4 linked regions of the Anolis sagrei genome follow. The protein of the gene in region 3 interacts with the protein of the main gene of each other region in a pairwise test. Links are inferred from orthologs where the notes say so. Each region holds a gene or a part of one and is shown on either strand. Other genes may lie near its edges. The genes, in order: SGF29, AIRIM, RINT1 and FAM110A.

The links.
Region 1: the proteins of RINT1 (region 3) and SGF29 interact in binary tests that used the Homo sapiens proteins (3 or more experiments, as listed by UniProt). The two-hybrid records come from large-scale screens. The link is inferred for Anolis sagrei from reciprocal best matches to the Homo sapiens genes RINT1 and SGF29.
Region 2: the proteins of RINT1 (region 3) and AIRIM interact in binary tests that used the Homo sapiens proteins (3 or more experiments, as listed by UniProt). The two-hybrid records come from large-scale screens. The link is inferred for Anolis sagrei from reciprocal best matches to the Homo sapiens genes RINT1 and AIRIM.
Region 4: the proteins of RINT1 (region 3) and FAM110A interact in binary tests that used the Homo sapiens proteins (3 or more experiments, as listed by UniProt). The two-hybrid records come from large-scale screens. The link is inferred for Anolis sagrei from reciprocal best matches to the Homo sapiens genes RINT1 and FAM110A.

What each region holds. Positions count from the first base shown.
Region 1 is NC_090026.1:23,382,067-23,390,192, reverse strand, and holds the start of SGF29 (SAGA-associated factor 29), read right to left. Parts: upstream 3,084-8,126; 5' UTR 3,046-3,083; coding exon 2,903-3,045; intron 1,758-2,902; coding exon 1,656-1,757; intron 1-1,655. UniProt on the Homo sapiens protein: Chromatin reader component of some histone acetyltransferase (HAT) SAGA-type complexes like the TFTC-HAT, ATAC or STAGA complexes.
Region 2 is NC_090034.1:86,340,215-86,347,615, forward strand, and holds the start of AIRIM (AFG2-interacting ribosome maturation factor), read right to left. Parts: upstream 3,069-7,401; 5' UTR 2,772-3,068; coding exon 2,653-2,771; intron 1-2,652. UniProt on the Homo sapiens protein: Part of the 55LCC heterohexameric ATPase complex which is chromatin-associated and promotes replisome proteostasis to maintain replication fork progression and genome stability.
Region 3 is NC_090025.1:83,924,671-83,931,654, forward strand, and holds the start of RINT1 (RAD50-interacting protein 1), read right to left. Parts: upstream 3,005-6,984; 5' UTR 2,889-3,004; exon of another isoform or gene 2,881-2,888; intron 153-2,880; 5' UTR 129-152; coding exon 81-128; intron 1-80. UniProt on the Homo sapiens protein: Involved in regulation of membrane traffic between the Golgi and the endoplasmic reticulum (ER); the function is proposed to depend on its association in the NRZ complex which is believed to play a role in SNARE assembly at the ER.
Region 4 is NC_090024.1:240,806,504-240,814,453, reverse strand, and holds the start of FAM110A (protein FAM110A), read right to left. Parts: upstream 3,020-7,950; 5' UTR 2,862-3,019; intron 1-2,861.

The sequences.
Region 1 (8,126 bases), on a different chromosome or scaffold from region 3:
ACTAAAAGCTGGAAAGTATAAAAGTTTCCAGCTTTTAGTCTTGAATAATCCCTTCCTCCCACTTTTTCGCTGCTTTTCAGATGTCTTGGTTTGCCTTTGCCTTCCTCTGGATTTAATAATAATAATAATAATAATAATAATAATAATAATTATTATTATTATTATTATTTGGTGATTGGCCCACTGGGTGCAGTACCTAAAGACCTTGGCCTGCACTTAAAAACAATTGGCGCTGACAAAATTACCACCTGTCAGCTGCCCGGATCTGCATGCATTATTCGCCAATACATCACACAGTCCTAGACATTTTGGAAGCCAGTATAGTGATCTTGATTGCTGTGTACTAATATTGTTGTGTATAGTAATTTTATTTCTTACCCACCTCTCCTCAGGGCTCAAGGTAGGTTACAAAACAATTAAACGATATAAACACAGCAAAACTCTACAAATATTCACACTAAAACATACTTCCATAAAAGTTACACACCAAAACGTATCTCTAAAAACTGCATATTATGACACACAAAACAGAGATGGAACAAAGGACATTTAAAATTCATGTTGAAAGACTGTCTGGGTAGACCTGCCCGAAGAGATAAATCTTTACATGGTTTTGAAATTCCATCAGCTGATTTAGGTGTCGGAGCTCTACCAGCAGGTTGTTCCACAGCCTGGGGGAGGCTGACTAAATGGTCCTCTGGGTGGTGGTTGCCAGTCAGGTTCTGCCTGGTTAGAGCAGATGCCCCTCAGAAGACTGAAGTGTGTGGGGCAGATTGTATGGGAGAAGGCGATCCTTTAGGTAACTTGGCCTTTAAAGGTCAAAACTATCACCTTGTAATTAGCTCAGAAAATAACTGGCAGCCAGTGGAGTGACTTTAGGATAGGTGTGATATGCTTACTCCTGAATGTTCCTGTAACCCAGTGGTTCTCAACCTGTTTGTCCCCAGGTGTTTTAGTCTACAACTCCCAGAAATCCCAGCCAGTCTACCAGCTGTCAGGATTTCTGGGAGTTGAAGGTCAAAACATCTGGGGACCCACAGGCTGAGAACCACTGCTGTAACCAATCTTGCTGCTGTATTTTGAACGAGTTGGGAGTTTCCGAACTTGGTACAAGGGTAGCCCAATGTCAAGTGCATTGCAAAAGTCCAACCTTGAGGTTACCAGTGCATGCACTACTATCTTTATGTCCTCCAAAGCTAGGAAGGGGTGCAGCTGGCATATCAGTCAAAGCTGATAGTAAGCACTCCTGTCACATCTACGTGGGTTGACATTTGGAGAGATGGTTCCAGGAGTAAGCTGCAAACACAAGTCTTTCAGGGGGAGTGCAACCCCATCCAGAACTGGTTGACACACCTCCATCCTCAGATGAGGACCCTTGGTGGCAAGCACCTGTTTTGTTTGAATTCAGTTTCAATTTGTTTATCCACATCCAGCCTATTACCTGCTCCGGGTATTCGTTTAGAGGAGACATACTATCCTCAGATGAAGATGTCTTTGAAGGCATGGAGAAATATATTTGGGTGTCATCACACATATTGGATATAGCCTATATGTCTGCTTTAATCCAATATTTATTTCTAATCTATGCGTTTTAAATATGTTTAGTTACATAATTCAAAGCTGGGGTGAAAATTGCTGGAAGAAACATTAACAACCTCAGATATGCAGATGACACCACTCTGATGGCCGAAAGCGAGGAGGAGCTGAGGAGCCTTCTAATCAAGGTGAAAGAAGAAAGTGCAAAAGCCGGGTTGCAGCTAAACATAAAAAAAAACCAAGATTATGGCAACAAGAATGACTGACAACTGGAAAATAAAGGGAGAAAATGTGGAGGCCGTGACAGACTTTGTATTTCTAGGCGCAAAGATTACTGCAGATGCAGACTGTGGCCAGGAAATCAGAAGGAGGAATGTCCAGTCTCAATAAAATAGTAAAGAGTAGAGACATCAGACTGGCAACAAAGATCCGCCTAGTCAAAGCCATGGTATTCCCTGTAGTAACCTACGGATGTGAGAGCTGGACCTTAGGGAAGGCTGAGCGAAGATCGATGCTTTTGAGCTGTGGTGCTGGAGGAAAGTTCTGAGAGTGCCTTGGACTGCGAGAAGATCCAACCAGTCCATCCTCCAGGAAATAAAACCCGACTGCTCATTGGAGGGAAGGATACTAGAGACTTTGGCCACATCATGAGGAGACAGCAAAGCCTGGAGAAGACAATGATGCTGGGGAAAGTGGAAGGTAAAAGGAAGCGGGGCCGACCAAGGGCAAGATGGATGGATGGCATCCTTGAAGTGACTGGACTGACCTTGAAGGAGCTGGGGGTGGTGACGTCCGACAGGGAGCTCTGGCGTGGGCTGGTCCATGAGGTCACGAAGAGTCTGAGACGACTGAACGAATGAACAACAACACATAATTCTAGGTTGTGTCCCACCTTTAGTCTTGGGGAAAGTAGCCTAAGACACAATAATAGTATTATTATCATCACCTGGTGTTCTCTGTACTTGGCTTCCCATTCAAGTACTAACCAGGCCTGGTCCTATTTAGCTTCCAATAACAAAAGGAATATAATGTCTTCAATGTGTAGGTTTATTAATATTGCTACTTTCTACCCTAAAAATAGATCTTTGTTAAAGTAATATGCTTGGAGAAGAAGCTTTGCTCAATATGGCAGCACATGTTTCCTCAAATTCTGTAATAGCCTTTGGACTCTCACAATTCCTTATTACAAAGTAAAACAATAGGGTTATACTCTGGCTGCAGCTGAACAAGTGGTTGCGCATGCGCAAAACCAAAAGCCACGTTTTCCTGGCTCCCAAGCGCAAGAGCGAGCGCGCATGCGCAAAGCCACATATTGGTTTCGCCCTCAGCACCCTTCTTTGTAGCAGCGCCCTCCCCCGCTCCCTACCGTTTGGGACTTAGATCGGTAGCAGCAGGACGACGTAGGAATGCGGGTGCGAGAAAACACAAAACAAAAAAAATATAAAAATTAAAAAAAATGCGGGTACGACTGAAAATGGCGCTAAATCCGCAGGAAGGAGTACCACGCATGCGCAGTTTGGAACCTGCCTTTGGGCGGCGCGCGCAACTGAAGTTTTTTTTTTTCTGACTGGAGGACAGATGAGTTCTAGTGCGCATGCGTAATATTCTCGGCAACGTTCGTTTCGCTGTCTTCTCGCATTCCAATGCCGAGCCGACTTTGTACCAATGCTATAGCAGCCTTCCTGACGCGCATGCGCATTAGTTACTACATGAGAGCCCTAAATCAACAGGCAACTTCAAGGCACAGAATTATTTTTGGAAATCCAATATTTTAAAAAAAATATTGGGACTGATGGACAATGCAATTTTAAGCATGTTTATTATAAAAACAGCTTATAAGTCAATGCTCTTTTGAACTACAAGTCCCAGAAGTCTCAGCCATAGAATCATAGAATCAAAGAGTTGGAAGAGACCTCATGGGCCATCCAGTCCAACCCCCTGCCAAGAAGCAGGAATATTGCATTCAAATCACCCCTGACAGTTGGCCATCCAGCCTCTGTTTAAAAGCCTCCAAAGAAGGAGCCTCCACCACACTCCGGGGCAGAGAGTTCCACTGCTGAACAGCTCTCACAGTCAGGAAGTTCTTCCTCATGTTCAGATGGAATCTCCTCTCTTGTAGTTTGAAGCCATTGTTCCGCGTCCTAGTCTCCAGGGAAGCAGCCAGTTTGGCCAAATGTCATGAAGTCCAAACAAAGAACCAAAGAGGCCTAAGCTTCAAGTGAAGCCTCATCTGCACTGCTTGAAGGTGCATTGCAGTTGAATGGCTGTGGCAGAGAAGGCCCAAAACCATGTAAAACTACAACTCTCCCGATCCCATAGCATTGAGCCATGGCTTTTCAAGTGGTGACAAACTGATCTACAGTGTAGATGTGCGGATGCTAAGCTAGGTACAACGGTTCTTCAAGCCCCTGCTTCTTTCCAACTCTGGCTGAAACCCAGTTGTTTTTCGCCGCTAAGTGTTGACTCCGCCCTATAGGCTAAGTGTTGCCTATTAACTAACTAACGTTTAGTTAGTTAATAATTGTTCATCTATTGAGTACAAGGTGAACCAGCGCTATTGATTCGAGATAAGATTGTGCAGCTTTCGCTGAGGTAAGGCCTCTGAAAACTGAAAGGACAAGGCAACTTGTTGTTAAACCAATGGTGGGAATTATGGGTGATTCTTCTGGGTAGGGCCAATGGGAGTTGCAGTTCATCAAGTTCCAATTGATTTGAGTGGTTGTCTTGGTTGGGACTGATAACTCTTTATCAGGCATTGAGATCGAAAGTAACTCCCCCCATCCCCTCGGACTCTGTAAAATATGGTTCAAAATCAGGGAATTCATAGTTTTGCCAAGGACACCAGGCTGGAATCCTCTCATAATCCTCTATCTCCCCCATGTGGGAACCTAAGGCTTTTTCTATGGCCCTATGGCCCAACTAATGGACTTCCCATGAACTTTATAGGAACTTTTATAAACTCTTGCCAAACTTTATGGACTTTAATGGACTTTGAGGGGCTGACGTGACTTTCACTTAGACCCTGCCCCATTTCCCCATCCCCTATGTGTATGGATGTATGTTTATATGAAAATATGAAGGAAAAAGCCACTGTTTCATAAAACCAGCAACTCTCATGGCTCAGAAAGTCCTTCACGACTCCTGAGCTGGTTTTATTTATTTGTCGTGTCAGGAGCGACCTGAGAAACTACAAGTCGCTCCTGTTGTGAGAGAATTGGCCGTCTGCAAGGACATTGCCCAGGGGACGCCCGAATTATTTGATGTTTTTATCATCCTTGTGGGAGGCTTCTCTCATGTCCCCGCATGAGGAGCTGGAGCTGATAGAGGGAGCTCATCCGCCTCTCCCTGGATTCGAACCTATGACCTGTCGGTCTTCAGTCCTGCCGGCACAGAGCTTTTATTTATTTATTTATTTACTAGCTGTGCCCTGCCACGCGTTGCTGTGGCCTTTAGTAAGAGTTTTGAATTCTCTGCCTGGCCTCTCTTCCTTCCTTCCCTCGCTCTCTTTCCCTCTCTCTCACACACACACTCCTTCCTTTCCCCTCTTTCTCTCTTTCCCCCTTTCTCTCTCTCACACTCCTTCCTTTCCCCTCTTTCTCTCTCTCTCTCCCTCTTTCTCTCTCTCTCACTCCTTCCTTTCCCCTCTTTCTCTCTCTTTCCCTCTTTCTCTCTCTCTCACTCCTTCCTTTCCCCTCTTTGTCTCTCTCTTTCCCTCTTTCTCTCTCACACTCCTTCCTTTCCCCTCTTTCTCTCTCTCTTTCCCTCTTTCTCTCTCTCACACTCCTTCCTTTCCCCTCTTTCTCTCTCTCTTTCCCTCTTTCTCTCTCTCACACTCCTTCCTTTCCCCTCTTTCTCTCTCTCTTTCCCTCTTTCTCTCTCTCTCACACTCCTTCCTTTCCCCTCTTTCTCTCTCTCTTTCCCTCTTTCTCTCTCTCTCACACTCCTTCCTTTCCCCTCTTTTCCTCTCTCTTTCTGTCTCTGGCATCCCTCCTTCCTCCCCCTTCTTTATGCTTGTGTGTAAACTTGAGTATTTTGGCCATAGTTGGCCATAGGGGTTCAGTGTGGCATGTTTGCCCTAATTCTGTCATTGGTGGGGTTCACGATGCTCTTTGAGTGTTGGTGAACTGTGAATTCCAGTGACTACAACTCCCAAATGTCAAGGTCTATTTTCCCCAAACTTCATCTGTGTTCATATTTGGGCGTATTGAATGCTTATGCTAAGTTTGGTCCGGATCCATCATTGTTTGAGTCCACAGTGCTGTCTGGATGTAGGTGAACTACAACTCCCAAACTCAAGGTCAATGCCCTCCAATCTTTTCCAGTGCTTTCTGTTGGTCATGGGAGTTCTGTGTGCCAAGTTTGGTTCATTTCCATCATTGGTGGAGTCCAGAATGCTCTTTGATTGTAGGTGAACTGTAAATCCCAGGAACTACATCTCGCAAATGACAAAATCATAATTGTTTGAGTGATGGTCACTCCTTCTGTTGTGAGACGTTGTGTTGTGTTGTGGAGCCTCCCCTTCCTCTCCCCCCCCCCCGCCTTTCCCTTCCCTTCCCTTCCCAGCACTCGCCTCTTTTGCTGTTCTTCCGTCGTCCCTCCCTCTGGCCGGAGTCGTCCAAAAAGGCAAGAAGGAAGCGGGCGGCAGGGGCGCGGCTTAGGCAACAGAGGCTTTGTGCGGGGCCTAGCTTTGCACGAAGCCTCTCTCGCCTAGAGGGGAGGGGAGGAAGAAGGAGGGGGAGGAGGTGAGATTGGGGAAGAAGAAGGAGGAGGTAAGAAGGAGAAGGGAGGGGTGGTGAGTTAGCGGCGTGTGTGTTTGTGTGGAAGGCAGGGGGGTTTGTTACCGGCGTTTGGTTGTGTTGCGGAGAAGGGAGGGGGTGTGCGTTAGCGGCGTGTGTGTTTGTGTGTTGCAGGGAAGGGAGGGGTGGTGAGTTAGCGGCGTGTGTGTTTGTGTGGAAGGCAGGGGGGTTTGTTACCGGCGTTTGGTTGTGTTGCGGGGAAGGGATGGTGTGTGTGTTAGCGGCGTGTGTGTTTGTGTGTTGCAGGGAAGGCAGGGGGGTTTGTTACCGCCGTTTGGTTGTGTTGCGGGGAAGGGAGGGGGTGTGTGTTAGGGGCGTGTGTGTTTGTGTGTTGTAGGGAAGGGAGGGGTGGTGAGTTAGCGGCGTGTGTGTTTGTGTAGAAGGCAGGGGGGTTTGTTACCGGCGTTTGGTTGTGTTGCGGGGAAGGGAGGAGGTGTGCGTTAGCGGCGTGTGTGTTTGTGTGTTGCGGGGAAGGGAGGTGTGGTGAGTTAGCGGGGGGAGGGGTTGTTACCGGCGTTTGGTTGTGTTGCGGGGAAGGGAGGGGGTGTGTTTTACCAGAGCTGCGTTGGAGGAGGGAAGGAGTGTTTCAGGGCCGGAAGGGGTGGGAGGAAGTTGCGATGCGTGTGTGTGTGTTTGTGGCGGCGACGTGTTCGTGCTGGGCGAGGGAGGGAGGGAAGTGCCGTTCGGCCGTTCGGCCATGTGTGCGCGCGCGCTGGGGACTTTGCGGCAGTGCGCATGCTCAGTTGTTTTGCCACTTTGTGAGTGTGTTGTTGTGTTGTTTGTAATTGTGAGTGGATTAGTTTGTACCGAGTGGGTTGTCCTAGGGCCATGGCAATTTTGGTGCAGTTTCGTTGGGGGGGTTTAGAGTTTACCTGTCCGGTTGAACCAACCTAACAGATTTATATATATAGATTTATTTACTTTGCTTATATACCGCTGTATCACAAGCCTGAAGGCGACTCACAGCGGTTCACAAACAGTAAAAACAGTAGAAACAGCAGTGGTTCCATACAACATATAACAATTGACTTAACACATTATCCATAAATTACCAATAAGCAATTACAATGCACAATTATTACGAAAAACAACCGTACCCAATCTTCTCATCATCCAAGCGTAGTCCAGGTTCGTCGTCCATTGTTCCATTCCTATATTCCATTACCAGATTGCACTAAATTACTCAAACGCCTGCACAAACATCCAGGTCTTCACCTTTTTGCGGAATACCATTAGAGATGGTGCTAGTCTAATGTCCATAGGAAGGGTGTTCCACAGCCGAGGAGCCACCACCGAGAAGGCCCTATCTCTCGTCCCCGCCAGCCGAGCTTGAGAAGCAGGCGGGATCGAGAGCAGGGTCTCCCCGGAAGATCTCAAAGTCCTGGTGGGTTCATAGGCAGAGATGCGGTCAGATAGGTAGCTTGGGCCAGAACCGTTTAGGGCTTTAAAGGCCAACGCCAGCACTTTGAATTCAGCCCGGTAGCAGATCGGTAGCCAGTGGAGTTGGCGCAACAGGGGGGTTGTATGCTCCCTGCGCTCCGCTCCTGTTAAAATCATGGCTGCCGAGCGTTGGACTAGTTGGAGCTTCCGAGCTGTCTTCAAAGGCAACCCCACATAGAGAGCGTTGCAGTAGTCTAAACGGGATGTAACCAGAGCGTGGACTACCGTGACCAAGTCAGACTTCCCAAGGTACGGGCGCAGCTGGCGCACAAGCTTTAGCTGTGCAAATGCTCCCCTGGTCACCGCCAAAACCTGGGGTTCCAGGCTCAGCGATGAGTCCAGGGTCACACCCAA
Region 2 (7,401 bases), on a different chromosome or scaffold from region 3:
AGCAGGAAGGTAACGGCACTCCATGCCGTCATGCTGGCCACATGACCTAGGAGATGTCTACAGACAACGCCAGCTCTTCGGCTTAGAAATGAAGATAAGCACCATGCTCCAGAGTTGGACTCGACTAGATTTAATGTCAAGGGGAAACCTTTACCTTTTATGTTTTAATATATGCTTTTGTAGCTGCATTTTAACTATGTTTCAATATGGGATTTGATAGATCTGCCTGTGTTGTGCCCCGCCTTGGATTAAAAGGAGAGACAGATAATACAGTAGAGTCTTGCTTATCCAACATAAATGGGCTGGCAAAACGTTGGATAAGCGAAAATGTTGGATAATAAGGAGGGATTAAGGAAAAGTCTATTAAATGTCAAATTACATTATGATTTTACAAATGATGCACCAAAACATCATGTTTTACAACAAATCAACAGAAAAAGCAGTTCAATACAGAGTAACATTATGCAGTAATTACTGTATTTACAAATTTAGTACCCAAACAGACAAGGGTTCTTTTTTTCTCCCACCCTGGACATTATTCCGGGCGGGAGGCAGACTGCGTTGGATAATACAGAATGTTGGATAAGCGAAGACTGGATAAGCGAGACTCTACTGTAAACCAAATTAGGACACTATGTAACACAATTTTCAGTTTTTCAGTGACTATCTCATCATAAGAGTCTCAACCAATTTCAACCTATTTATTTATTTATTTGCTGTATTCGTATACCGCCCTTCTCAACCCTCAGGCAACTCAGGGAGGTTTACAGTGGCAACAATTCAATGCACAAAACACCATAAAACATTTAAAAACATTAACACATAATATAAAACTATAACAAGAGTATTAAAAACATAGATCATTTGCGTCTCCTAATAAAATCACTGTCCAATCTCGTCGTCCAGTCATTCTAATTCTTATGTCTTTTACCTTGCATTTTCAAATGCTTGCTCAAACAACCAAGTCTGGACACTTTTCCAAAATGTTAAGAGAGAGGGGGCCGATCTAATGTCCCAAGAAGGGCGTTCTATAGCCGAGGGGCCACCACTGAGAAGGCCCTGTCTCTCGTCCCCACCAAACGTGTTTGTGACGCAGGCGGGATGGAGAGCAGGGCCTCCCCGGACGATCTTAAAGTCCTGGCAGCCACAAAAATGATGTTTCTGGAGTAGAACTCCTTTGAAAATAATGATCGCATAATGAAACAGGAAATACCACTTTTGAAGCAGAAATAGACAATATTTCAATTTTTATTACATCTTTATTGGAAAAGTACAGCAGAGGCCCCTTCTACACTGCCATATAAAATCCAATTATTTGCTTTAAATTGGATTATAAGGCAGTGTAGACCAGGTATGGGTAAACTTGGGCCCTTGGTGTTTTGGACTCCAACTCCCACCATTCCTAACAGCCTCAGGCCCCTTTCCCCCCCAGCCACTTAAGGAAAGAACCTGAGGCTGTTAGGAATGGTGGGAGTTGAAGTCCAAAACACTTGAAGAGCTGAGGGGGGAAAGGAAGGGGCCTGAGGCTGTTGGGAATGGTGGGAGTTGGAGTCCAAAACACTTGAAGAGCTGAGAGGGGAAAGTAAGGGGCCTGAGGCTGTTGGGAATGGTGGGAGTTGGAGTCCAAAACACTTGAAGAGCTGAGGGGGGAAAGGAAGGGGCCTGAGGCTGTTGGGAATGGTGGGAGTTGGAGTCCAAAACACTTGAAGAGCTGAGAGGGGAAAGTAAGGGGCCTGAGGCTGTTGGGAATGGTGGGAGTTGGAGTCCAAAACACTTGAAGAGCTGAGAGGGGAAAGTAAGGGGCCTGAGGCTGTTGGGAATGGTGGGAGTTGGAGCCCAAAACACTTGAAGAGCTGAGGGGGGAAAGGAAGGAGCCTGAGGCTGTTGGGAATGGTGGGAGTTGGAGTCCAAAACACTTGAAGAGCTGAGAGGGGAAAGTAATGGGCCTGAGGCTGTTGGGAATGGTGGGAGTTGGAGTCCAAAACACTTGAAGAGCTGAGGGGGGAAAGGAAGGGGCCTGAGGCTGTTGGGAATGGTGGGAGTTGGAGTCCAAAACACTTGAAGAGCTGAGAGGAGAAAGTAAGGGGCCTGAGGCTGTTGGGAATGGTGGGAGTTGGAGTCCAAAACACTTGAAGAGCTGAGGGGGGAAACGAAGGGGCCTGAGGCTGTTGGGAATGGTGGGAGTTGGAGTCCAAAACATTTGAAGAACTGAGAGGGAAAAGTAAGGGGCCTGAGGCTGTTGGGAATGGTGGGAGTTGGAGTCCAAAACACTTGAAGAGCTGAGGGGGGAAAGGAAGGGGCCTGAGGCTGTTGGGAATGGTGGGAGTTGGAGTCCAAAACATTTGAAGAACTGAGAGGGAAAAGTAAGGGGCCTGAGGCTGTTGGGAATGGTGGGAGTTGGAGTCCAAAACACTTGAAGAGCTGAGGGGGGAAAGGAAGGGGCCTGAGGCTGTTGGGAATGGTGGGAGTTGGAGTCCAAAACATTTGAAGAACTGAGAGGGAAAAGTAAGGGGCCTGAGGCTGTTGGGAATGGTGGGAGTTGGAGTCCAAAACACCTGGAGGGCCCAAGTTTACCCATACCTGGGCTACATTGCCTTATAATCAATTTCAAAGCAAATAATGTGCCTAGATAGGCTCCCTTGACTAACTCACCTGCCTTCCGCCTTCTTCCCTTCCTCTAGCCGCCCCGGGGCCTGACGGGAAATGGAGTCCCACCGCCCTCCCGCCTCCTCCGATGGGCGTGGCTTGCCCTGGAGTGACGTCACAGGCATCTGCAGGCGGGGACTCCCTTCTCTCTGTGGCCAGGCTCATAAAGAATCCACATTGCTTGAACTTCAAAAGCTTGGATCCAACATTGTTCTTCCATTCAGGCAAAGGGCAGGAAAGCTGTATTCTCTTGTCTCTCCCTGCAGCTTCCTGAACCAGATTTGAACACCTTTGCAAAAAAATAAAAATCAGCCAATCCCATTTCATGGAGCATCCTAGGCTGCAAATGTGAGAAGACAAGTGGGAATGTCAGCGTTGTCCCATTTGTGGAAAGAGCCTTCAAGTCCAATGGAAAGGCAGGCCTGAGGAAGCCAGATAGTGCACTTCTAAGCATCCCCTGCCCTTACCTGGGCCAAGCTGGGCACCTGCAGAGTCCCACTGGGAAGACAGGTCAGGATTTGAAATGAAAATAAAGTATATTATACACATATAATATTGATAATATTATAATGTAATGCAACATAATACTAATAATAATGCAATATAATAATTATATATTTATATTACAAGTAATATTACTAATAATTTTACAGTATAGTGGTATAGTACAATATAGTAATATATAATACTGATATTGTGCTGTGCTAATATATTGTATACACATATAATATTGATAATATTATAATATAATATAATACTAATAATTAAATTTAATAATTACATATATATATATAACATGTAATATTACTAATGATATTACAATGTTGATCCAATTCCGAGCACAATTCAAAGTGCTGGTTTTGACCTACAAAACCCTATATGGTTCCGGCCCAGCGTATCTGTCCGAACGCCTCTCCTTCTACGTCCCGCCTCGGAGTTTAAGATCTTCTGGGGAGGTGCTGCTCTCGGCCCCACCTCTATCACAAGAGAAATTGGTGGGGATGAGGAGCAGGGCCTTCTCGGTGGTGGCCCCTCACCTGTGAAACTCACTCCCCGGAAAAATTAGGTCATTGACATCCCTCCTCGTCTTTAGAAGGAAATTAAAAACATGGATTTGGGACCAGGCCTTCGGGTTATCTGGCGGATAGATAAGGGGCAAGCAACAACTAGAATTGCTGGATTGGACAATGTGGAATTTGAATTTATGGACTATGAGCTGGTAAACGTTGAGCACTAGATTGTTTTTAGGGATTGTGATGTATAATGGATTGTTTTAATTGTTTTAATTACTGTTTATGTTTTATTTTTTACCTTGTTGTTGTGCCGGCATCGAATTGTGCCTTTTTGTAAGCCGCCCTGAGTCCCCCCTCGGGGGTTGAGAAGGGCGGGGTAGAAGTGCGAGAAATAAATAAATAAATGTAGTTGTATAGTACAATATGGAAATACATAATACTAATAATGTGCTATGCTAATAATATAATATATTATATGTACAAATAATGTGTAAGCCGCTCTGAGTCCCCTTCGGGGTGAGAAGGGTGGCATATAAATGTCGCAAATAAATAAATAAAATTAATATGTATTTTGAGTTGAAATTCACAAGCATGTGGACAATTTCAACAGAAAGGAGGAAACCATGAAAATAAACAAAGTCTGGCTACCAGTATTTAAAAAACTCTAAAATCAGGACAGTAAATGAAGAGCAACACTCAAAAAAACAGAGGAATTCCAGATAAGAATCAATCAGGGCCAGCTAACACCTCCCAACAAAGGATCCCCAGGCAGCAACCAGCCAGGCTTTGAAGCTGCAAGGCCATTCAATGCTAATCAAGGTGGCCAATGGCAATAAAATTCACACTTGCCTCAAGCAGACAAGAGTTCTTTCTCCCACCCTGGGCATTCCACAGATCTATAAATCTCGCTTGTCTAGTTTCCAACTGACATCATGACCTCTGAGGATGTCTGCCGTAGATGTGGGTGAAACGTTAGGAGAGAATGCATCTGGAACATGGCCATACAGCCTGGAAAGCTCACAGCAACCCTATGTCATCATACTCAGAAAGAAAGAGCTCAGGTGACGCAATGGGTTAAACCCTTGTACTGGCAGGACTGCTGACCAATAGGTCAGAGGTTCGAATCTGGGGAGAGCAGGTTGGGCTCCCTCTGTCAGCTCCAGCTCCCCATGCGGGACATGAGAGAAGCCTTCCACAAGGATGGTAAAGCATCAAACATTCGGACATCCCCTGGGCAATGACCTTGCAGACGGCCAATTCTCTCACACCAGAAGCGACTTGCAGTTTCTCTATTCACTCCTGACACACACACAAACACACACACACAAAACCCTCAGGAGCTAACTGCAGAGTCAGAATGACAAGTTTCCGAGGATGATGAAACCAGTGTGCAATGCCTAATGTCTGGTGCAACCACGGTGCACTGTTGGGACACCATGTATGATGCAATACAATATGTGATTGGCCAGATCTAGGATAACAGTGGGGCAGCTAGCATGATGACTGTGGATGAGTGTTTATGCTGGTGTTGCTGAATGTTACAAAGACGTTGGAAATAACCTTCAAGCCTCCACTAGTAATTTGTTTGTATAGGTTTCCATTTGCTTACTGTGTTGTATATGTATGTTTTGGTATGCAGCTTTCCCTTTACTCTGTTTCTTGAGGTTGTGGGACCACATGATCAGTTCTGAGACTGCTCAGACCTCAGACTCCATTACACTCTCAGACTGTTAAGACTACCTCTTACCTGCTTGACTTTGGACTGTTAAGAGACAACTCATGTTGTTGATTGTAAGAAAGATGCCCTGTGTTATCTGCACAGAGTAACTACTTCAAACCTATCTATAACTTGACAAGTTATGTACCTATATACTGAATACATGAAGGTTGTGAGTAAACCAAATGTTACTTTTAACAAAGTCCACTTTATTTTTGTCTCTTCAGAGAATGATATCGAAACAAGATGTTTTATGGGAGAGTAGATGTTTTTAGGCACTGAAAAAAATACTTCTGAAGAATGGCTATATTTTACGCATTGGCGTTGCTTCTGTTCCTAACAGATAAAAGAAAACCAGGTTATCAGCCTAACAACCAAAATGCTTTGCATAAGTACATGTGGTTATATCCCACACAAGAGAAGATTTTACTCAAATGATACATTTTTTTGTTCTTCTCTGGAAGATCATAATTTTACAAAAGGTTATTTTTAAAATGGTTGGAAAACCAGGGAGATTCTGGTTTTCCAAAATAAGAGAGATCTACGTGAGAGAACTGCTGTGAAGATTGCTGAGGGGAGAAAGTGAGAGGACTTGGTTTTATACAAAGCTTTGCATGTATGCATTGTTGGAAGATAAAAGACTTCTTGAATGTGGAAAGAAACTTCTGCCGTCCTTGCCTGTGATTTCTGTTCGAATCCGGTACTAACAGATCACTAGGATATTTAGAGAACTCCCATCACTCATAGATTGAGCTTAACACGCCAAACAAGACAGGCCTTTGGCAGCAAGGCCCAGGCAGAGGGCAAGAGCCTGGCACCAGTAACTCCTGGCCAGCCCTTCTTTTCTTTTCTTTTCTTTTCTTTTCTTTTCTTTTCTTTTCTTTCTTTCTTTCTGTCTGTCTCTCCCTCCTGGGGAGGGGGGGCTCAGGGACCCTAGTGCTCATCACCTAGAATCATGGAAGAAACCTCATGGACCATCCAGTCCAACTCCCTGCCAAGAAGCAGGAAAATTGCATTTAAAGCCCCCCTGACAGATGGCCATCCAGCCTGTTTCAAAGCCTCCAATGAAGGAGCCTCCATCACACTCCAGGGCAGAGTTCCACTGAACAGCTCTCTCCATTAGGAAGTTCTTCCTAATGTTCAGGTGGAGTCTCCTTTCCTGTAGTTTGAAGCCATTGTTCCATGTCCTAGTTTCCAGGGCAGCAGAAAACAAGCCTGGTCCCTCCTATGACTTCCCTTCACATGTTTATACATGCCCTTCATCATGTCTCCTCTCAGCCTTGTGTTCTGCAGGCTAAACAAGCTCAGCTCTTTAAGCCACTCCTCATAGGGCTTGTTTTCCAGACATCTCCCTTCAATTACAGTGTCCAGAATTTGACACAGTGTGATTCCAGGTGTGATCTGACCAAGGCAGAATAGTTGGGTAGCATGACTTCCCTGGATCTAGATAGTATACACCTATTTATGAAGGCCAAAATTCAATTGGGTTTCTTTGCCGCCGCATCACATTGTTAGCTCATGTTCACCTTCCTCCCCATGAGGACTCCAAGATCTTGTTTACATGTACTGCTGTAGAATCAGGCATCTCCCATTCTGTATCATGGCATTTCAGTTGTTCTGCCTAAGTGGATTATCTTGCATTTGTCCCTGCTGAACTTCATTTTGTTAGGTTGGGCCCATCTCTATTCTGTTAGATTGTTTTGAATTCTCAACCTTGTACACAACCCTCCCGCCTGTTACTTTCCTGGCCCCTTTCTCTTGCACAGGCCTCCTTCCACATACAGGTCTTCAACAGACACATTTGCAGCAATGTCCACCCTCCCCACCCCCTCTCTGTAAAAGGAAGGACGGAGCCAGCAGTAGCACACGCAGCAGTCTGCAGAAAGTTTCTGTTTACTGAGATTGGTCCCAATGCTGCCCCATGTCTTTGGGTTTCCACAGAGGCTTCACAAGTTCAAAGGCCATAGGATGCCCGTTAAGAGGGAAGCCCCACCATCGTGGAGCAGCTCCCCATTTACTCCAGGA
Region 3 (6,984 bases):
ATAATTAACTAGTGAAAAACAGATAAAGAGAATACAATTATTAGAAATATGCCTAGAAAATGGCAAATAAATCCACATACCTCTTCAGAGAACAAAGGTTCTTCACTTTCAACCAATGGTTGCGCCATCTCCAAAGAACACGATTAAATATTCTGCAATGAAAGATTATTTACAATTTGATTAATTAAAAGTTGGGCACAACCATATGTATATAGGATTTTATCTTGAAAGCAATGCCAGAAAATTGAAACAGGGTCAAAACCACATATATACACATATACACAAATATACACACACAAAGCACATACACACAGACTGGGCCACAGCAACGCATGGCAGGGGATGGCTAGTCTATATAAATAAAAATGTAATGGTAGTTTGTGGGATTAACATAACTCAAAAACCACTGGACGAATTGCTGCTAAATTTGGCCACAAAACTCCTACTAACCTAATGAGTGCCCATCACTCATCACAGTGGAGGACCTTCTTGCAGCAACACCAGAGGCACTCCAAGTGGCCAGCTACTGGTCAAAGGACATTTAATCAACTACAAAACTCACAAATTTTGTATTCTGTCTGTTTGTTTGCTTTGTTCTGTTAGAAATGTAATATAATCGACTGGTTGAGCTGACACGGTAAATAAATAACCATCACTCAAAAAAACTGTTTTTGTCATTTGGGAGTTGTAGTTGCTGGGATTTATAGTTCACCTACAATCAAAGAGAATTCAGAACTCCACCAATGATGGACTTGAACCAAATGTGGCACACAGAACTCCCCTGACCAACAGAAAACACTAGAAGGGTTTGGTGGGCATTGACCTTGAGTTTGGGAGTTGTAGTTCACCTACATCCAGATAGCATTGTGGACTCAAAACAATGATGGATCTGGACCAAATTTGGCACAAATATTCCATATGCCCAAATATGAACACAGATAGAGTTTGGGGGAATTAGACTTTGACATTTGGAAGTTGCAGTTACTGGGATTTATAGTTCACCTACAATCAAAGAACATTCTGAACCCGGAGTTTCGGGATACGATGTCATCTGTACGCAGATGATGTCCAACTCTGTCACTCCTTTCCATCTACTACTAAGGAGGCTGTTCAGGTTCTGAACCGGTGCTTGGCTGCTGCGATGGTCTGGATGAGGGCGAACAAATTGAAATTGAATCCAGACAAGACAGAGGTACTCCTGGTCAGTCGCAAGGCCGAACAGGGTATAGGGTTACAGCCTGTGTTGGACGGGGTCGCACTCCCCCTGAAGACGCAGGTTCGCAGCTTGGGTGTGATCTTGGATCTTGGATTCAGGCTTCAGCAGTGACCAGGGGAGCATTTGCACAGTTAAAACTAGTGCGCCAGCTGCGCCCGCACCTTGGGAAGCCTGACTTGGCCACGGTAGTCCATGCTCTAGTCACATCCCATTTAGACTACTGCAACGCTTTCTACGTGGGGTTGCCTTTGAAGACTGCTCGGAAGCTTCAAATGGTCCTACGATCGGCAGCCAGGATGCTAACAGGAGCGGCACTCAGGGAGCATACCACTCCACTGCTGCGCCAGCTCCACTGGCTGCCAATTTGCTACCGGGAAGAATTCAAAGTGCTGGCTTTAGCCTTTAAAACCCTAAACGGTTCTGGCCCGACCTACCTGTCCGAACGCGTCTCCTCCTTTGAACCAGTTAGGACATTAAGATCGTCTGGGGAGGCCCTGCTCTCGATCCCGCCGGCTTCACAAGCACGCCTGGCGGGGACGAGAGACAGAGCCTTCTCAGTGGTGGCCCCTCGGCTGTGGAACGCCCTTCCTGCAGATATTAAATCGACCCCCTCCTTGCTGGCATTCCGGAGGAAAGTAAAGACCTGGCTGTTTGAACAGGCATTCGACTAAATAGTGTGATTGATTGACTGACTATCGGAACACGGAATATCGGATAACGAGTTTGGATTCTGATTTCATTGATGAGACCTGATGGATTTGTTATATTGATGTAGTGATGTATTGATATTGATGTTTAATGATGTTTAATGATTTGTGGAGCTATTGCTTTTAAATACTTAATGATTTTGTATTGTGTATACGTAAATTGTTGTGAACCGCTCTGAGTCGCCTAAGGGCTGAGAAGAGCGGAATACAAATTTTTTAAAAAAATAAACCCCACCAACGACAGAATTGGGGCAGAAAATACTTAAGGCCATCCAGTCCAACTCCCTTCACCAGAGCAAGAAAATGTAATCAAAACCCTCCTGACAAAGAGCCATCCAGCTACAGATATAGATAGATATATAAGATTGATACAAAGAGAGATATAGTATCATAGATTTGAAAGGGACCCCTAAAGAAGCACAATTATATGTTGCATATTCCAGAATAGGCAAACCAGACAATCTTCACATCTACATTGACAAAGAAACAGCAATAAATACTGTTTACTCACAAGCATCAAGAAATTACATAGATTAGAAGCCAACATTTTCTCATTACTTTATTTTCCAGATCACCAGACTGAGCCACAGCAACGCGTGGCAGGGGACGGCTAGTTTCATAATAAATGGCGTGGGGAAAGCAATTCCTCTACAAGCAGGCCAAAGAACCAGTTGCCTGCCAATGTTATGGGCAAGGGGGCTTAAATACAGTCCAAGGGCTCCTTTGGAATAGAAGAAATTAGTCAAGGGAGGTGTAATCCTAAATGGAAGAATGCAACTCAGCCCTGGTTGAGAGCAACTGAAAGCAGGACAGTCCTGAGGCGGAGTGGCCATATTTCCTCCCAAGTTTGGCCGTTGCCAGGTAACAACCCCCCCCCATGGAGTAATCCCTTAGCAACCACTCCCCCCCCCCCCCCAATTTTGAGGAGAACGAGGCGCGCGCGAGGCGTCCACCTACCCACTCACCGGCCTCCAGGTTTAAGCCACGCCCCTTCGCTTGCCCCGCCCCTAACAGCGACGCGTCAGCAGCAAACTCTGCCAAACCCGGCAGCCCGCCCTCCTTCTAAGCGAGCAGCAACGCGAGAGCGGAGAGGGGCGCGTGCTCGAACAGGCCCGTCCCCTCGCTCCAAGGGTCACGTGGCCACCGCAGCTGCGTCCCTGCCTGGCCGAGGGAGGGTGGAACAGCCAGCACTCAACTTCCGGCTTGGGTTTCGGAGCCATTTTCCTCCTGCGGCGGAAGTGACGACAGTCCATAACATTACAAAAGGGGGCGAGGTAAGTGGGAGGAAACCCAGCATAGCGAACTTGTGGTTGGCTAGCAAGTTACATGTGCCTCCAAGTTGTGTGTTGTGGCAATTTCATAAGGCTTGGCTTAGGTCAGGAATACTCACACCCCTTCGAGGTCCCTTCTGTATAAATTCTACATTATCTGATTTGAACTGGATTGTATGGCAGTGTGGACCCAGAATGCCAGGGCAGAAAATCCCACAAAATCTGCTTTGAAGTGGGTTATCATAGAATCAAAGAGTTGGAAGAGATCTCATGGGCCATCCAGTCCAACCCCCTGCCAAGAAGCAGGAATATTGCACTCAAATCATCCCTGACAGATGGCCATCCAGCCTCTGTTTAAAAGCTTCCAAAGAAGGAGCCTCCACCACACTCCGGGGCAGAGAGTTCCACTGCTGAATGGCTCACAGTCAGGAAGTTCTTCCTCATGTCCTTGTAGTTTGAAGCCATTGTTTCTCATCCTAGTCTCCAGGGAAGCAGAAAACAAGCTTGCTCCCTCCTCCCTGTGGCTTCCTCTCACATATTTATACATGGCTATCATATCTCCTCTCAGCCTTCTCTTCTTCAGGCTAAACATGCCCAGCTCCTTAAGCCACTCCTCATAGGGCTTGTTCTCCAGACCCTTGATCATTTTAGTCGCCCTCCTCTGGACACATTCCAGCTTGTCAATATCTCTCTTGAATTGTGGTGCCCAGAATTGGACACAATATTCCTGGTGTGGTCTAACCAAAGCGGAATAGAAGGGTAGCATTACTTCCCTAGATCTAGACACTATGCTCCTATTGATGCAGGCCAAAATCCCATTGGCTTTTTTTGCCGCCACATCACATTATTGGCTCATGTTTAACTTGTTATCCACGAGGACTCCAAGATCTTTTTCACACGTACTGCTCTCGAGCCAGGCATTATTGTCCCCCATTCTGTATCTTTGCATTTCGTTTTTCCTGCCAAAGTGGAGTATTTTGCATTTGTCACTGTTGAACTTCATTTAGTTAGTTTTGGCCCATCGCTCTAATCTGTCAAGATAGTTTTGAATCCTGCTCCTGTCCTCTGGAGTATTGGCAATGGCTATCCCTCCCAATTTGGTGTCGTCTGCAAATTTGATGATCATGCCTTTTAACCCTTCATCTAAGTCATTAATAAAGATGTTGAACAGGACTGGGCCTGTTCAAGTAGGAATAAGGCTTGGCTTAGGTCACGAATCCTCACACCTCTTCGAGGTCCTTTCTGTATAAAATCTACATTATCTGCTTTGAAACAAGCATCCCGAGCTCTGAGGATCACCTGGGAAGGAATCCCACTGGAGCATTGCAGCACACCCAAATACCTTGGAGTCACTCTGGACCGTGCTCTGACCTACAAGAAGCACTGCCTGAACATCAAGCAAAAAGTGGGTGCTAGAAACAATATCTCAGATATGCAGATGACACCACTCTGATGGCCGAAAGCGAGGAGGAGCTGAGGAGCCTTCTCATCAAGGCGAAAGAAGAAAGCGCAAAAGCCGGGTTGCAGCTAAACGTCAAAAAAACCAAGATTATGGCAACAAGAATGATTGACAACTGGAAAATAGAGGGAGAAACCGTGGAGGCCGTGACAGACTTTGTATTTCTAGGTGCAAAGATTACTGCAGATGCAGACTGTAGCCAGGAAATCAGAAGACGCTTACTTCTTGGGAGGAGAGCAATGTCCAATCTCGATAAAATAGTAAAGAGTAGAGACATCAGACTGGCAACAAAGATCCGCCTAGTCAAAGCCATGGTATTCCCTGTAGTAACCTACGGATGTGAGAGCTGGACCTTAGGGAAGGCTGAGCGAAGGAAGATCGATGCTTTTGAACTGTGGTGTTGGAGGAAAGTTCTGAGAGTGCCTTGGATTGCGAGAAGATCCAACCAGTCCATCCTCCAGGAAATAAAGCCCGACTGCTCACTGGAGGGAAAGATACTAGAGACAAAGTTGAAGTACTTTGGCCACATCATGAGGAGACAGGAAAGCCTAGAGAAGACAATTATGCTGGGGAAAGTGGAAGGCAAAAGGAAGAGGGGCCGACCAAGGGCAAGATGGATGGATGGCATCCTTGAAGTGACTGGACTGACCTTGAGGGAGCTGGGGGTGGTAACGGCCGACAGGGAGCTCTGGCGTGGGCTGGTCCATGAGATCATGAAGAGTCGGAGACGACTGAACGAATGAACAACAACAACAGAAACAATATCATACAAAAGCTGACTGGCACAACCTGGGGATCACAACCAGACACAGTGAAGACATCTGCCCTTACACTATGCTACTCTGCTGCTGAGTATGCATGCCCAGTGTGGAACACATCTCACCATACTAAAACAGTGGATGTGGCTCTTAATGAGACATGCCGCATTATCACGGGGTGTCTGCGCCCTACACCACTGGAGACATTACACTGCTTATTGCACCACCTGACATCCGCCGGGAAGTAGCAGCCAATAGTGAAAGGACCAAGGCAGAGACCCCTTCAGCTCATCCCCCGTTTGGGTATCAGCCAGCACGTTGACTTAAATCAAGACATAGTTTTCTTAGATCTACAGAGACACTCGCTGGAACACCTCAGCAAGCGAGAGTCCAAAAGTGGCAGGCTCAAACCCATTCTACACTGCCAGACAATCCACTTTATCAAAGCAGAAAATCCACACTATCTGATTTGGATTATTTTTGGCCCCTTCCACATCTTCTATATAAATAAAAATCTAATGTTAGCTTGTGGGATTAACATAACTCAAAAAACACTGGACGAATTGACACAAAATTTGGACACAATACACCTATCAGGCCAACAAGTGACCATCACTAATAAAAACACTGAAAAACACAGCGGAGGGTCTTAAAAAGCTAAAAAATCAAAAAGATGCTACAGCACATATGCAAAAACAACTCCCCTGGCAAACAAAACACACAATAGTGAAGTCGTCCCATTGGCTTCAATAGCATATTCATTTGCCTGGTGTCCCTATGGGATGTCTCTTACTTGATGTCCAGATGTCTCTTACTTGATGCCTCTTATAAAGGATATCCCTTGTTTAAGTCTTGGAAGCTTTCCTTTTATACATACAGAACAAGATGCCTCAAAAATCCTGTATTGTGGCATGTGAGCTTTCCATAAAGACAGAAACGTGTACCTGTGTCATTTATGAATGTGTGCAATGTGATCATTTTACAGAGATAAAGGTTGGTGTTTAGCTGGAACACAAAGCCTATTAATAGTGATTTCTGATTTTATCATTTTTATTTGCCATCTTTTCATAATAACAGTGAAAGCAGGGGAACAAAACCGGAGTGAAAGAAAGTAGGAAATTAGATAGAGAGGAGGGTTACTAGTGAGGGGTTGGACTAGAGTGGGAAGGGGATGGAACGGGGGAGGGGAAGTAGGGAAGGAGTGGGGTGAATAGAGAAAAATAGGGGGGTTAAGGGACTTCCAGTCCATGCCACAGAGAGATAATATTTCCCAAATAATATTTTTGTGGATAGTCCGCTATTTTTGTTATTTCGGGGTTTTTTTCTTTTCTTTTTTTCCCCATTCTTTTTCCGAATTTTTATAATTTCATCTTCTCTTGCAGGTAAATTTTCAGTGGTAGCCAGTTGGTTATGGTCTTTAAGTAGTTGCGTATTCATATATTCTATTACTTTCGCTGTCCATTCCTCAATTGAGGGGGGGGGGGGGGGCTATTAAAAGTGATTTCTGGATTGTCAGCTCTGCATGCCATATCAATTTCAACTGCCCTATGCTGCTGTTTGGACGCTTTCTATC
Region 4 (7,950 bases), on a different chromosome or scaffold from region 3:
ATAATCCAGGCCCTATTCTGGGAAGTGTATATTCTCCATCTGTTGTCCTCCCAGCCATCTAGACCACACCTGGAATATTGTGTCCAATTCTGGGCCCCACAATTCAAGAGAGATATTGACAAGCTGGAATGTGTCCAGAGGAGAGCGACTAAAATGATCAAGGGTCTGGAGAACAAGCCCTATGAGGAGCGGCTTAAGGAGCCTGGCATGTTTAGCCTGAAGAAGAGAAGACTGAGAGGAGACATGATAGCCATGTATAAATATGTGAGAGGAAGCCACAGGGAGGAGGGAGCAACTTGTTTTCTGCTTCCTTGGAGACTCGGACGCAATGGAACAATGGCTTCAAACTACAAGAGAGGAGATTCCATCTGAACATGAGGAAGAACTTCCTGACTGTGAGAGCTGTTCAGCAGTGGAACTCTCTGCCCCGGAGAGTGGTGGAGGCTCCTTCTTTGGAAGCTTTTGAACAGAGGCTGGATGACCATCTGTCAGGGGTGATTTGAATACAATATCCCTGCTTCTTGGCAGAATGGGGTTGGACTGGATGGCCCATGAGGTCTCTTCCAACTCTTTGAAGGAGACCATGAAAATCAACACAATCTGGCTACTAGTATTTAAAAACTCTAATATCGGGACAGTAAATAAGGAACAACACTCAAATACAGGGAAATTCCAGACAATCAGGGCCAGCTAATCACCTCCCAACAAAGGATTCCCCCAGAGAGGAAGCAGGCAAGCCTTAAAGCTGCAAGGCTATTCAATACTAATCGAGGTGATCAATTGCAGCATTCACACTTGCCTCAAGCAGACAAAGAGTTCTTTCTCCCACCCTTGACATTCTTCCACAGATATATAAACCTCACTTGCCTAGATTCCAACAGACCTCACAATCTCTGAGGATGCCTGCCATAGATGTGGGTGAAACGTCAGGAGGGAATGCTTCTCGGACATGGCCAAACAGCCCAGAAAACTCACAGCAACCCATGATCCCTTAAGTCTTGAGCGATTATTCCTAACTCAATCCAACGATCCTGTGTTCTCGTCAAAAGAAAAGTTACATTTTTCTGTTGGCCCTCCATCTATCATGAGAAGGAATCTTGGAGCTTTCCAGATGTCCTTGGACAACAATTCCCATCATCCCTGACCAGCAGAGCCAGTTGTGAGGAATACTTTGGGTTCCGGTCCCTATATTTCCGAAGGCCATACAGTTCTCTGCCCTTCTCTACTGGGTATGGGACAAAAAGGGAAGGAAAAGGGGATTTTATTATTATTTCTGTATTCTATTATTATTATTATTATTGTTATTATTATTGTATGGGGACTTTCGTGGCACCTTAAAAGCTAACCTTAAATCAAAGCTTTTGCCCTTTTTTCAGAGACAAGCATAGGTGAAAATAAGCCAATAAGTTTTGAAAGTGTCCAAAAACTTGTATTTTCTTCCAGCTTTCTATGAGAACCAATGACCTAGGACATCTTTGAAAATAGATACAGGGCAAGCACTCTACCTGTTGGATTTCTACCTGCAGCACAAATCTTGGAGTCTTGATAGCGAGGGAAAGTGGGAATAGAAGTCTTGCATTACTAAGAAGACACACCTAGGTGTCTAAAGGAGAGAGGGTTGCCACCCTACCTGTTGGATTTCTGCCTGCCACACAGCTCTTGGAGACATGATAATCTGGAAAGTTGGGGAAATGGGAGTCTTCTGCTCCTAAGAAAAAAGTGACTTTGGCGTCTAAATGAGGGAGAAGTGAAGCACTCTACCTGTTGGGTTTCTACCTGCCAGGCAGGTCTTTGGGGCTTGATAGCCAGGGAAGGGGGAATAGAAGTCATGCATTACTAAGAAAAATGTTCTGAGAGTTGAAAAAGAAAGTAGGCACTTTACCTGTTGTATTTCTACCTGCAACACAAATCTTGGGGTCTTGATAGCATGGGAAAATGGGAATAGAAGTCTTGCACAACTAAGAAGACAGACCTAGGTGTCTAAAAGAGAGAGGGTTGCCACCCTACCTGTTGGAGTTCTGCCTGCCATACATGATAATCCGGAAAATGGTGGGGGAAAGGGATGAGAGCCTTCTGCTGCTACGAAAAAAGTGACCTAGGTGTCTAAAAGAGAGAGAGGTCAAGTTCTCTACCTGTTGGGTTTCTACCTGCCAGGCAGCTCTTGGGGACCTGATAGCCAGAGAAAGGGGAATAGAAGCCATGCACTACTAAGAAAAATCATCCGGGAGTTGAAATAAGAAAGCAGGCACCCTACCTGTTGGATTTCTACCTGCAACACAAATCTTGGGGTCTTGATAGCATGGGAAAATGGGAATAGAAGGGAATAGAAGAAAGACCTGGGTATCTAAAAGAGAGAGGGTTGTCAGTCTACCTGTTGGATTTCTGCCTGCCACATATGATAATCCGGAAAGTAGGGGGAAAGGAAATGGGAGCCTTCTGCCACTAAGAAAAAAGTGACTTAGGTGTCTAAAAGAGGGAGAGGTCAATCACTCTACCTATTAAGTTTCTACCTGCCAGGTAGTTCTTGGAGACTTGATAGCCAAAGAAAGGAGAGAAAGAGGAATAGAAGCCATGCACAACTAAGAAAAATGCTCTGGGAGTTGAAAAGAGAAAGCAGGCACCCTACCTGTTGGATTTCTACCTGTCATGCAGCTCTTGGAGACCTGATAGCTGGGGAAAGGGGGAAAATGGGAATCGGAGTTTTGAGCTAGTAAGAAAAAATGATCCTGGGAGTTCAAAAGAGAGGGCAGGTAGATGCAACTCTACCTGTTGCATCTCTGCCTGCCTGGCATGGCTCCTCAGTTGGCAGGACAATCTGCAACGTGGGCAGCAATGGAGGAAAAGAAAGGGAGCTTTCTTACCTTCTTGAGAGAGAAAACAGGAGCTCCTTTCCTCCTTTCGTCTCTTCTCTGAAGCAGCTGCTTCTCGTTCTGCCTGCGCCGAGTTAAACCTTCCCAGGTGACCTGAGCGCCCAGGTGAGCGCCTTGCACAACTTCCTGTTGACACTCACCTGGGGAATTTCCCTTCCTGAAGGGGGTTCGCCCAGCAGCAGAGAAGAAGGCAGCAGCATTTGGGAAGAGAGAGGGAGGGAAAGAGGGCTTGCCCAAGGAAGGCACTGCCCTGCCTCCCTGCAGAAAGCCTGCCAATGATTCCCAGCAGTCCTTGCAAGGATAACAACAACAGGTTTGATTCCTTGCCATACTCTCCTTAAGGCTGGGTGCAGCATAGAATCATAGAATCACAGAGTTGGAAGAGACCTCATGGGCCATCCAGTCCAACCCCATTCTGCCAAGAAGCAGGAATATTGCATTCAAATCACCCCTGACAGATGGCCATCCAGCCTCTGCTTAAAAGCTTCCAAAGAAGCAGCCTCCACCACACTCCGGGGCAGAGAGTTCCACTGCTGAACGGCTCTCACAGTCAGGAAGGTCTTCCTCATGTTCAGATGGAATCTCCTCTCTTGTAGTTTGAAGCCATTCTTCCATTGCGTCCTAGTCTCCAGGGAAGCAGAAAACAAGCTTGCTCCCTCCTCCCTGTGGCTTCCTCTCACATATTGATACATGGCTATCATATCTCCTCTCAGCCTTCTCTTCTTCAGGCTGAACATGCCCAGCTCCTTAAGCCGCTCCTCATAGGGCTTGTTCTCCAGACCTTTGATCATTTTAGTCGCCCTCCTCTGGACACATTCCAGCTTGTCAGTATCTCTCTTCAGTTGTGGTGCCCAGAATTGGACACAATATTCCAGGTGTGGTCTCACCAAAGCGGAATAGAGCATGGGTAGCATTACTTCCCGAGATCTAGACAGTATGCTCCTCTTGATGCAGGACGAAATCCCATTGGCTTTTTTTGCCGCCACATGACATTGTTGGCTCATGTTTAACTTGTTGTCCACAAGGACTCCAAGATCTTTTTCACATGTACTGCTCCCCCATTCTGTATCTTTGCATTTCGTTTTTCCTGCCAAAGTGGCAAGGGGTCACTTGTTGAACTGTTGAACTTCATTTTGTTAGTTTTCATCCAGTGGTTTTTGTTAAAACAAAAATATATCTCCTTCCCCATTGGTTTTCAGCATTTCTCTCTCCGCAATGCTAGCAATGTTCATGGAAATGCTAATGATGATGATAACAATAATAATTTTACTCACTACCTGCCTCTCCTTAAGGCTAGCAATCTATATAAATAAAAATGTAATGTTCATTTGTGGGATTAACATAACTCAGAAACGGCTGGATGAATTGACACCAAATTTGGACACAAGACACCTAACAATCCAATGTATGTCCTTCACTCAAAAAAAATTGATTTTGTCATTTGGGAGTTGTAGTTGCTGGGATTTATAGTTCACCTACAATCAAAGAGCATTCTGAACTCCAACAATGATGGAATTGAACCAAATGTGGAACACAGGACTCCCATGACGAACAACAGAAAACACTAGAAGGGTTTATTTATTTTATTTATTTCGTGTACTTCTACCGCGCCCTTCTCAACCCCCAAGGGGGGACTAAGGGCGGCTTACAAAAAGGCAAAATTCGAGGCCTACACAGTAATACAGATAAAAAATAGACAGCAATTAAAACAGTTTTAACAGTTAAAAACAATCAATATATATCACAGTCAATAAAAAAACAATCTTATGCTCAACGTTCGCAACTCAGAGTCCATAACTTCATTCCACATTTTCCATTCCTATCAGTCGTCGTTGTCCTTTATTTATCTGGCAGATTGCCCAAACGCCTGGTCCCAAATCCATGTTTTTTATTTCCTTCTAAAGGAAAGGAGGGATGACGATGATCTAATTTCCCCAGGGAGTGAATTCCATAGGTGAGGGGCCACCACCGAGAAGGCCCTGCTCCTCATCCCCTCGTTTCGTGGGCATTGACCTTGAGTTTGGGAGTTATAGTTCACCTACATCCAGAGAGCACCGTGGACTCAAAAAATGATGGATCTGGACCAAACTTGGCACAAATATTCTATATGCCCAAATATGAACACAGATGGAGTTTGGGGAAAATAGACCTTGACATTTGGAAGTTGTAGTGGCTGGGATTTATAGTTCAACTACAATCACAGAGCATTCTGAACCCCACCAACGATAGAATTGAGCCAAACCTCCCACACAGAACCCCCATGACCAACAGTGTTTCTGGTGGTACCTGGTGACCCCTCTGACATCCCCTCGCAACCCCCAGGTTGAGAAATGCTGTCTTAAGGCCATCCAGTCCAACTCCCTTCACCAGGGCAAGAAAGCATAATCAAAACCGAAATGCTCTTTGATTGTAGGTGAACTATAAATCCCAACAACTACAACGCCCAAATGTCAAGTCTATTTTCCACAAATTCCACCAGTTTTCACATTTGGGCAAATTGAGTATTCATGCCAAGTTTGGTCCAGATCCATCATTGTTTGAGTCCACAGTGCTCTCTGGGTACAGGTGAACCACAATTCCAAAACTCAAGGTCAATGCCCACCAAACCCTTCCAGTATTTTCTGTTGGTCGTGGGAGTCCTGTGTGCCATGTTTGGTTCAATTCCATCACTGGTGGAGTTCAATATGCCCTTTGATTGTAGGTGAACTATAAATCCCAGCAACTACAACTCCCAAATGACAAAATCAATTCTCCCCCCAACCTCACAAGCCCACCAGTATTCAAATTTGGATGTATTGGGTATTTGTGCCAAATTTGGTCTAATGAATGAAAATGCACCCTGCATATCAGATATTTACATGATGATTCATAGCAGGAGCAAAATTACAGTTATGAATTAGCAACAAAAATAATTTTATGGATGGGGGTCACCACAACATGAGGAACTGTATTAAGGGGTCGTGTCATTAGGAAGGTTGAGAAACACTGATCTATACTGTAGAATAAAGGCAATTAGACACCACCTGAAGTGCCATAGCTCAATGGGAGTTGTAGTTTTACAAGGTCTGCAGCCTTCTCTTCTCTGTTGGTGCTGAGCTACAAATCTCATGATTCCATAGCATTTGGACATGGCAGCTCAAATGGTGTTGAACTGCATTCATTCAACTGTATAGATCAGGCATGGGCAAACTCTGGCCCTCCAGGTGTTTTGGACTCCAACTCCCACAATTCCTAACAGCCGGTAGGCTGTTAGGAATTGTGGGAGTTGAAGTCCAAAACACCTGGAGGGCCAAAGTTTGCACATACCTGGTATAGATGCACTCTTAGTGCGTCGCTGACTTTCAAGGTGCCAACTCCTTGTCTCCAGGGATTTGTCTCTTTCCAACGTACCTGAAAACCAATTAGCAGACCCTTTCCAGACGATTTGCAAACTGCATGTAGCTTTATAGTTATCTTTCTCACTGTGCCTATCTTTCTAGAAATCAGTTCCCCCTTCCAAGACATCAGGAAGTGTGGTGGGCTGGGGTTGTCCCATATTTTGCAACCAGACTCGACTTAGAAATGTATGTTTTCCCAGTATATCTGAAAATCAAAACACCGCCTCCTAATTTGCTAGGCAGCAGGGGTGTTTGGGTTGCTAGACTCTTGTCTCTTGCGCATTTTGACTTCAAATGCATCTGGAAATCAATACACAGATATTGACAGCAGCAAGGTGGGGTTGGGCTATCACTTTTATTAAATGCTAAGTATCCTACAATACTCCAAATCCTGTCTGGTTTTGGAGGCTCAGTAGGGTCACCTCTGGTTAGTGCTTGGATGGGAGACTGCCAATGAATATCAGGTTCTATATTTCAGAAGAAGGAATTGGCAGAACCATATCTGAATATTCCTTCCCTAAGAAAACCCTCTGAGATTCATGGAATTGCCATAAATACAGGCATCATGAAGGCACATATAATATACACAGATGGATTGAATGATGGACCATCAGTGATACAAATACTATCCATGACCCTATTGTTGGCTATTGATGCTGTTTCCAAGTAGTGCCATTATGATGCTGTTTTGGACCATTCTTTTCAGATGTACATAGACTCTCAGTTAACAGGCAACCATGGGGAATGATAGGTGCTGGATACATGTAGTTTCTGGTTGCTTGGGAGTTGCTATTAAAAATAGGTGTAACAAATACCATACCCCATATTGTACCATGCCATGAACTCTGTATTGACTTGATATTAATAGTGCAATACAGTCACTGAAAGTACATCAAGACAAAGACAAACTTAACTTAAAGTAACACAGGTTTAATTATCAAAATAGGTTTGTATTTGTTGCTGCTTATTTTCAGACTAGCTGTACCTGCCACGCATTGCTGTGGTCAACCTTCCCTCCCTCTTTCTCTCCTTCTTTCTCTCCTTCCTTCACTCTCTCTTTCCTTCCCTTTTCTTCTTTCTTTCTCTCCTTCCTTCCCCCTTTTTCTTTTCCTTCCTCTTTCTCTCCTTTCTTCTTTCTCTACCTCTTTCCTTCCTTTGCTTTTTGCTTCCATCCTTCCTTCTCTCTTACTTTCTTTCCTTCCTTCCATCTTTCTCTCCTCCTTTCTCACCTTCCTTCGCTTCCTCTTTCCTTCCTTCCTTCCTTTTTTCTTTCCTTCTCTCCTTCCTTCCTTCTCTACCTCTTTCCTTCCTTCTCCCTTTTCTGTTCCTTTTTCTTTCTCTCCTTTCTTCCTTCTCTACCTCTTTCCTTCCTTCCTTTGCTCTTCGCTTCCATGCTTCCTTCTCTCTTTCCTTCTTTTTTTCCCTCCCTCTTCCTTCCTTCCTTCCTTCCTTCCTTCCTTCCTTCCTTCCTTCCTTCCTTCTCTACCTCTTTCCTTCCTCCTCTTTTACTTTCTTTCCTTCCCTCCGTCTTTCTCTCCTCCTTTCTCTCCTTCTTTCGCTTCCTCTTTCCTTCCTTCCTTTTTTCTGTTCCTTTTTCCTTCTCTCCTTCCTTCCTTCTCTACCTCTTTCCTTCCTTCCTTTGCTCTTTGATTCCATGCTTCCTTCTCTCTTTCCTTCTTTCTTTCTTTCCCTCCCTCCCACTT